Sus scrofa: one gene and its partner. The main gene of each other region encodes a partner of the protein of the gene in region 2 in a complex. Links are inferred from orthologs where the notes say so. Each region holds a gene or a part of one and is shown on either strand. Other genes may lie near its edges. The genes, in order: MYSM1 and RBM10.

Region 1 (4,400 bases), on a different chromosome or scaffold from region 2:
CGATAAACTCTTAATAAATGACTGAATAGAATGCGAGAAGTAAGGAAAAGGAATAAAGTCTACGTCTATGCCTTGTGTGACTGGGTGGACTGAACTTAGAGAACTTGGAGAGGCAGGTTGGATGAAGAAAGTTTATAAGCTGAGACTGCAGAACACCCAAGGGCAGAGAGATTCAGAAAATTGTATAAATGGACCTGAAACTCAGGAGAGAGATTTGAGTTGGTGACAAATTTGGGAAACATCATTTTTGTAGGTCAAAAATGGTGGGACATTGGCAAAATTTCATACTGTCCAACCTAACAAATAAATTTAAATCCTGAGAGACAGACTGTGTGGTTAGTGAAAAGTCTTATGACAAAAATCCCTTGGAACATTAAAGGTTTTTTTGTTTGTGTGTGTTTCCCTGCATTTGTGGCATATGGAAGTTCCCAGGCCAGGGGTCAAATTTGAGCCACAGCTGCAGCATCACCAGATCCTTAACCCACTATGCCACAGAGGGAATTTCAAAACATTAAGATTTAAAGAACAAGCAGAAGAAAACAAGAATGAGAAAGAGAGGCAGGATAGGTAGAAAGGAAATCAAACCATTGCAACGCCATCTTCTAACTTTGGTAACTAGCACTTAGCGAGACCTAAACATGTTTTTAATTAATCCTCAAGGCTTCCACAAATGCTATCAGCTGTAACTACACAATTCAAGTGTTTATTCACAAGAAATTCTATGTGATTGGAGCCCTAACACCAGGGAGCAATTTTCACCAGGATATGTTACTGATGCTCCCTGAAGTTCTGTAAGGCAATGGCTCTAACCATCAGGAACCAATAACCCTATTACTGGTTACATGAGACTAAGATGATCACAGGTGCCACCAATAAAACTGAGGCTCAAGCAAAATAATAAAAAAAAAAAGAGAGAGAGAAAAAGGGATAAAAATAAAATACAATCAGAAAAATAAAGAACCTATGGAAAACGGATAGATAGAGCCAATGCTCTCAGCTGATCTTTGGTGTTTCCAAGGCCAATTCATTTCTCTCTGGGCTGCAGATAAGAATCCCTCCCACTTATTTCACAGACTTGTGAAAAGCAAATTAAATCACACATGCAAAAGCACTTGTGCAAGATTAACGAGGTCTACACAAATGTGAACAATGATTGTTAGTAAACCCTTCCTATCCATTTGTATAGCTTTGGACTATTTTGCCTAAAGATTTGAGGGAGAATGACTACATGAAGTTGGTTACTCATTTTCACAGTGCTTTAGGGTTCAGAAGAACTTTAAACCCACTATCTTAGTTCCTCATGGGCAGGGCCAGTACACTTCAAAATTTACAGAGGCCCTATCACTAGGTTCGACCACGTGAAATTGCTTTTTAATAGGTCAAAACCGTCTAAGATTGGCAAATCCACATGGTTCTAGAGACTTCGAACGTTCTTTATAGGTACAAGCAACATAGCTGAGTTTAGAACTGAGGTCTTAGAATTCCTGACCCATCTGGGCCTTTTCCATTACTAAAAGGAGATTCTGAAAGCATATTTTAAAAATGGTTGCTTTCATTCCCTGCAAGCAAGGAGTCAAAGGGCTAGATGTCTCAAGCTGAAGGTTATTGTTTAAAACCCCACTGGCCTGCTCTGCAGGTAGAGATACTAAATAAATTGTGACACCCCCCCGCCGCAGTCCTCACAATACCACCCCTAGGGATAACGGGCCGGTAAAGAACACATCTACAGAGCACCTATCCCATAATCACTTCATTTTTTCTTCACAATAATCATACGAGGTACCTAACATGATCGTCAGCCTACTCACGAACTGTCTGAGGCTCAGACAAATTAAAAGTCTGGCCCAAGGTCACACTACTAGTATCTCGCAGGACCAGCCATTACAAGAGAACCCAAAGCTGTCTAACTCTACGTCCTGCCCTTTCCTTTAAGTCACGATACCTCTCTGGAAGTTTTTCACAACTATCCTTATGTGGAAGAGAAAATCGATAGGGAGTAGGGATAAAACGACACACCCAAGGTCACAGGGCTTGCAGGCGATGGTACCAGAATCCCTACGCTCAGGTCCCATCTAGGGACAGCCCTTGTTCTCATGATTATTGGGCGGTGGCAAGGGGGCGGATTCTAGGGTGACACTAACGGAAGAAGTAATTGCTTAAGAGCCCGCAATGTGCTAGGGGCGACCGGCGCCCTCACAGCATCCAAGCAAAAGGAGAAAACGCTGTCCGCCCCAAGTCTCAGGTACTCGCCGGCTGCGCTTTGGAAGAGCCGGGCGGCGGGATGGGCGCGGCGCCGCCCAGGCCTCTGGGAGACCCCGGCCCCAGCGGATGGTCTTTCGCTCCCCTGGACCCTTCCGGAACCCCAGCCTTTCTAGGGTACCCTTCTCACATCCGCGCCCCTCCTCGTCTCTGCAAAACCCGGTCTCTATGTCTCACCCAGACTGTGCCGCCGCTGGCATGACGTCCCCTTCGACATCCACATCCGCCTCTTCTGCCGCCATGATGGGACCTGACCCCAGCCGTGCTCTCGAGAGATCCCGCGAGAGGTGGAGGGCGTGAAGGCGGGGCTGCGTGCGTCACGGGGCGGAGTTGAGGCGTCGACCGGCCCCTCCCAGGCTCAAGAAGCGGGGCTTTCGGGGAAAAGATATTAGCGTCCTGGGTCTGGATTCTTCTGACTTTTGTTGACGTGTAAAGACCTTGGCAAGTGGCCCAGGCTTGGATTTTGAAGACGTTGTGGTCTTGGATAAATTCTTTGGCGCCTCGCTTCTCTAATTTGTAAAATGGGGTTTATACTAAATACCTGGAGTGCTGAAAAGATCAAGCCAGACGGACTTTGAATGTGAAAGTGGCAACAGCGACCCTTATCTGCTGGTTTTTATTTTTTAGAATAGAATCATTCAGCACTTATAAAAATGCTGAACATCTGTTTTAATATTCAGGAAAGAGTTTAGAATATAACTTAGGATTGTGTATTTTATTTCGTAGATATCTTTACAGTTAATTAAAAAATCACTCATCACCGTTGATCTTCACAATAACCTGGTGAGGGAGTTTCCTTATGGTACAGCAGGTTAAGGGCCCGGCGTTGTCGCTGCAGAAGCTTGTGGCAAGAGTTTGACCATAGCGCAGGAATTTACGCATGCCGCTGGGTGTGGCCAAAAAAACAGAAACAAAGAAAACGCCAAAACCCAGTGAGATAAGCAGGACCAATAACATCAGTCACCCTTTGCAGATAAACTGAAGCTCAGAAAGTTGAGATGACTAATGAGAAGGATGGACAGCTAGTCAAAGACAGAACTGGGACCAAAATCCAGACCTTTTGACACTTTACTGAGTGTTTACCTGTACAAATTGTGTTGTTAGGAACTGTGAGAGACAAACACCATTTCTCTCAAAGAACTTAAGGCTTTTTAAGAAATTAAATATTACCCTTATGTATTCTTCTACCTTAGCATCTATCATTCACATTATTGTAGCTGTTAATTCATTTTTCTGCCTCCACCATCTGACTATGAATTCATTAAGGACAAAGGCTGTATCTGCTAGTCTTTGGACTAGTCCTTAAGGTATCAACATTCAACATGATGTCTGACACAGTTGGTGCTCAATAAATATTGAACTGATGAGTGAATCAATCAATTAATGGAATGAATTCACTTCCCACAATATTCTGAGTTGGCCCCAATGCACCCTTGCACTCAAGCCATAAGAGGAGCTGTAATACAACTGTGTGGCCAAAGATGGAGAGAAAGTTTTGTAAAGAGAGAGATCCAGTGCTCAGAAACTGAATAGTGCTCCATCCTTAAGTTATCCTGTTGCTAAAGGGCCTATCCTGTGACCAGTCTCAGTGGTAATTGGCATGCTTGGCACAGAGTAGGCTTTCTAAGATATTTGTTAGATGTAATTAATAGCAAGGTTAGAAAGATGGACATGGCCAGATGGTCAGAGCTGTAGAATATAGATGCCTTTCATTGATCTTTACAAAACAAGTGGGATAGGAACCCTTGTAGTACTACCTGGACACACAGGGTATCAAATGTCTCCTAGACACAAAATACCATATGAACAGTGTCTCCTATAATACAGAACTGAAGTCTTTCTGGCCCAGTATTAGGCATCAATAGGCATTAAAATATATATGGAAGGAAGGAAAGTCCTGCACAGAATTCCAATATGCCCCAAGGCCTTTAGGCATAAAGGCCTCCCTAAACAGGGAGACTAATATGAATCCTCCCCACACATGCGCCTATGCACCTGGTTTGCTGGCTTTATGTGAACGAGGCTCCTTAAGGGTATAGCTCAACCCTACCTGCAAGGAAGTGGCTATAACCCCACAGTTGAATACACTCCCGAAGCCTGGTCTACTGTTTAAATTTAACTATTTATTTAAAAATATATAG
Region 2 (4,470 bases):
TGCCAGGCCTTTTCACAAGCACAAACTGCACAATATCCTGGTAAGGTGGAAAGTGGCAAGAATAATTAACAGCTTCTAATGGTGAGTACTTAATAAGTGCCAATTGCTGTTCTGAGCACTCTGACTCATTTAATTACACGAGGCAGGTGTAATATTTTATTTTTTAGAAAGTGTCCTAATACTTTCCCCATCTTTCAAAGAAACTGAAGCACCAAGGGGTTAAGCTACTCGCCCAAGGTCACATATGTAAGTAACTATCAGGGCCTGTATTCCAACTCAGGCATTCTGATTTCAGTCTCTGCTAACAGGATAGCACAGCAGACCTGATTCTGCCACACATTCAGTTAAGTGAGCTTGGAGGAGTCACTTAACACCTTCATGCTTCAGTTTCCTCATCTGCAGAATGGGTATATTAATAGTACCTACCTCGAAATAGGGCTGTTTTGAGGATTAAATAAGTTAATATTATAAAGTGTTTCGAACACCTGAGCAAGGACCGTATCAGTGTTTAATATTATTGCTGTTATGGTATACTGCTCATTTCAGGTTTGATATCTGTCTGGAAAATAAGGTCAGTCTCGCCTCTGGCCCTGAACCGAAGGTTATCAGGGGACAAAGGAGGAAAAGGAGCTAGAAAGAACTCCCAAATCTTTGAGGATTTTGCCAGCTGCGCAATCCTCAGCCGACTAAGTACGTCCTCTACGGCGCCCCGTCCGCAGGTCCCCGATTGACCCTTGCGGCGTCCCGTTTCCCCTCCCTCTCACCTTCTCATAGAGGTTTTCGTCCTCCGGATCTGGGTCCTCCTGCAAGCGTATAGTCGGTTCCGGCGGCCGCTTTCCCACCAGAGCGGACGGGGCGATCACAGCCCTGGAGGAGCCGGACTCCCAGCGAACACGGGCAGCCGGGAGCCCTCGCGTCGCCGCTGCTGCTAAAAGGCGGCGAGCGCACAAACCTAACACCCCGGCCGCCATGACAGCTCGTTCTGCAGGCTCGCGGGGGCGGGGACGGAAATGTGACTCTGCGCAGCTGCAGTTGGGCCTGAGCGCGAGAATTGTCGCTCCGCCCCCGCCGCACTAAATAGGTCCCGAGTTGGGATTTTGTTTTCAAACGTCCTCTTTCCCTCCCTCTGTCATGGCCTCACGGGAGCAACCAGCTTCCTATCTTCTCGGTCAGGCTGTGGAATTTCTGGCCGAAAAGGCTGCTTATTTTCTTGACGAGAAGAAAACGGTGACACTTGGGTGGATGCAGTCCCCAACCAATCTCGAGGAGAGTTCCCGTGCCCTTTGGCGAGAGGGGCGGAGCTTCCGCTGGTCTTTCATCTTCCTAGGAAGCCGAGCTTCTAAAAAGCGGGCCTCGCCGGATTGGCCAATAGCTACTCTTTTTCTCGACTTGCGGGCGTTCGCACGGGGAGCGGGGTGGTGGCATGCGCTTGCCAATCAGAGCAGGCCAGGGCTGGCCCACGAAGGACGGCGACCAATAGACGGGGCCGGCCAGAGCGCGCTCCCTTAGTAGGTGGATGGTGGTCGAAGCGCCGGCTCCCTTCTCGTCGTCGCCATTTTGTGCTGGTGATCGCGGCCGGCTGGGAGTAGGCGGCAGTGAGTTGCCCGGGGAGGGCAGCGCGCCTGGGCGCTCCTTCCCTCCCCAGTCCTCCGCCCTTCCGCATTCAGCCTCGGACTGGGTCGTTGCGCGGACCGGCTCCGGCTGAGCTGGGAGAGTTGGAGGAGGTGGCGGCGGGCCGAGGTGATGTCCGGGAGCCCTCCCTTGACAGCCCGGGCCGAGAAGGTGAGCGTCGACGCTGGTCGTGGGGGCGGAGGTAAGGGACCGGGGGCGGGGGTGGGGGGGGGAACGCGTAGAGGAGGCGCGAGGGCGAACTGCGGGCGGCAGGTTTGGGTTTTCGTGCAGAACCCCCGATGCTCACACGGTCTGTGCTCGGGAGGGGGTGTCTTTTTTTGTTGTTGTTTTTTGTTTTTCTCCTTTTGAGAGCAGAGGCGCGTGCGCGATTGGGACACAGGATGGGTGCACGCGGGTTGGGGGAAGGGAGGGACGGATGGGAGTGGGTTACTGTGGCTTAGTGTGTCTGCGACGCCGAACTTTATCCGTGGGAGGCGAGTGTCTGCGACTTTGGTTTTTATCTATAGGAAGTGTGCTGTCTGCTCTCCTGTGTGACTTTGGTACTTACCTATCCACGGGGAAGTGTTTGGTGGCTCTGGTCCTTATTCTTGAGTGGGGGAGGAGGGAGAACGTATGACTGGGGTCTCTATCCTCGGATCGTGTGTCCGTAACCCTGGTCCTTATCCATGGGGAGGGGTCCTTATCCCAGAAAGTCTTCTTACAACTGGCCCTAATCCACTTACTGGGTGGGAGGAAGTGCAAGGAACGTGTGTAAGACTTAGTGTCCCTTCTTTGCGGGGGTGGGGGGTGGGGGAAGAGGGTGTTTCGTATCTGTTACTCTGACGCTCATCCTGTGAAAGGGGGCCTCAGTGGATGATTATGGCTTGTATTTACCCTGGATTCCTGTCTGTGATTTTGGCCCCTAGTTATTCGGGGCTTGACTCTGTTGAGTTTGTTCCCTATCTGTTGTGGATACCAGTGTATAACCCTGGCTCCTTTGCCAGATCTAAAGGGTTTTGTGTCCGGCTCTCATCCACTGGAGCCCCTGGTCGTGATTCTAACTCTTAGCCATCCGGGAGCGGGTAGCGCTGGTTCTCTGTGGCTTGAGGAGGAAGAGAAAATCGGTGTGAGTGTATCCGCGGAGGAAAGGTGTAGTGGCAACCTAGTTTGGGGCAGGTGCTGTTACCACCTGGCTTTGCCTGAGTCTTGTTCAGAGGGTGGGGCCTAAAGATTCCGGGATACTTTGTGGTGACCCCTGGCCTGGTCTCAAGGCTCTCAGGCCTTCCTTAGTTCTCACCGGAGCCTGAGGGTTGGGTAAAGTGACTGCCCATACGTCCCGGAGGAATAACACATCGGTTCAGAACAGGCTCCGAAAGGACTCGTTTTGCTTCTGAACAACTCGGGTCCAGAGCTCTGGGGAGGGAGCCCCCTTGGGGGACCTGGCTGTGCATAAGAGACAGGGCTCAGGGCTGAGCCAGTTGCGGTGCGGAGCCAAAACTGTGTTGGCCAGGAGCCTAGGGAGGCGGCAGCTGTGTCATTGCCAAGTTAGCCCCGTCACCCCCTGAGCCTTTCGTGGTCTCCTGCCGTGTCAGAGTGGGCAGCCAGCGTCTTTGGGGGAGGATGAAATATTCCCTGGAGGCTCGCGGATGGTAGCCTGGTGGGTGCCTGGGACCCCTGTTGTGGTGTCTTGCCCCGATGTCTAATGTGCCTGATCTGAGACAAGTCACCCAGCACTGAGAGCCCACTCTCCCCTGCTGCCCGCCCGGGCAGATAGCTCTGGGCTTGAACTTGTCTACCAGTCTCCAATGGCAGAGCCCTGATCACAGACAGCATGGGTGGCGCCACTGGGTCTCTCTGCGAGATGCTCCCCCTCTGCTGAAGGCTATGCTGTGTCTAGGGTGGCGGGCTCTAGCTTCACGTTTGTGGGGAAAGAAAGGAAGGAGCAAGCCAAACAGGGACTGCCTTCCTGCTCTGGTCCCCAGGAGTATTTCGAGTTGGGAAACAACATCGCTGGGCTCAGGGACAGCAGAGAGCCTTGAAAAGGTTTTTTCAAGGAACCCGTCTCTGCCTCAACTGCCTTGACCCCTTTCTTCCTTCTCCTCTCCCTAGAGTCCCTGCAGGAGGCATCGCCCAGGCTGGCAGATCATGGTGGCAGCAGCGGGGGTGGCTGGGAAGTGAAACGGAGCCAGCGGCTGAGGAGGGGCCCCAGCAGCCCCCGCAGGCCGTATCAGGACATGGAGTATGAAAGACGGTGAGTTACCCACTCCTACCCCTTCCAAGCAGCCTAGGCTTGTCCTTGTGTGCGAACTGACCCAGGAAAGCGCTGGGAGGGGGCTTCCGGGCAGGGGGAAGGAAAAAAAAAAACAGCACAGCAGATGATTGGTTTCTTTTCAGCAGATGTTTATTTGGCACTTGTGAGCCAGAACTTGCGCTAGGCTCTGAGAGTGCATTGGTGAATGAGATAGATAAGATTGCAGCCTTTGGAGTTCCTGTTGTGGCTCAGCAGGTTAAGAACCCAACATAGTGTCCATGAGGATGTGGGTTGAATCCCTGGCCTCTCTCAGTGGGTTAAGGATCCAGCGTTGCCAAGCTGCAGTGTAGGTCGCAGATGTGGCTCAGATCTGGGGTGGCTGTGGTGTAGGCCAGCAGCTATAGCTCCCTAGCCTGGGAACCTCCATATGCTGCAGATGTGTGGCCATAAAAACAACAAAAATAGGATTGCAGCCTTCTCCTTACTTAGGGTCTCACAGGGGATATTACACAGTTACAGATGATTACAAAACAGCTTGATTGGTGTCGTGTTTGGTTACAGGGTGGGAAGGGATCAAGAGAAAGGGAGGAATGGAGGCTGATGCCCAG

The links.
Region 1: RBM10 (region 2) and MYSM1 share a complex: the UniProt entries of both Homo sapiens proteins name them as parts of the large chromatin remodeling complex. The link is inferred for Sus scrofa from reciprocal best matches to the Homo sapiens genes RBM10 and MYSM1.

Annotation. Positions count from the first base shown.
Region 1 is NC_010448.4:153,754,298-153,758,697, reverse strand, and holds the start of MYSM1 (histone H2A deubiquitinase MYSM1), read right to left. Parts: upstream 2,959-4,400; 5' UTR 2,502-2,958; coding exon 2,437-2,501; intron 1-2,436. UniProt on the Homo sapiens protein: Metalloprotease with deubiquitinase activity that plays important regulator roles in hematopoietic stem cell function, blood cell production and immune response.
Region 2 is NC_010461.5:41,772,477-41,776,946, forward strand, and holds the start of RBM10 (RNA-binding protein 10), read left to right. Parts: upstream 1-1,421; 5' UTR 1,422-1,743; coding exon 1,744-1,813; intron 1,814-3,720; coding exon 3,721-3,862; intron 3,863-4,470. Other genes in the region: NDUFB11 (NADH dehydrogenase [ubiquinone] 1 beta subcomplex subunit 11, mitochondrial), read right to left, coding at 765-971. UniProt on the Homo sapiens protein: Binds to ssRNA containing the consensus sequence 5'-AGGUAA-3'. May be involved in post-transcriptional processing, most probably in mRNA splicing. Binds to RNA homopolymers, with a preference for poly(G) and poly(U) and little for poly(A).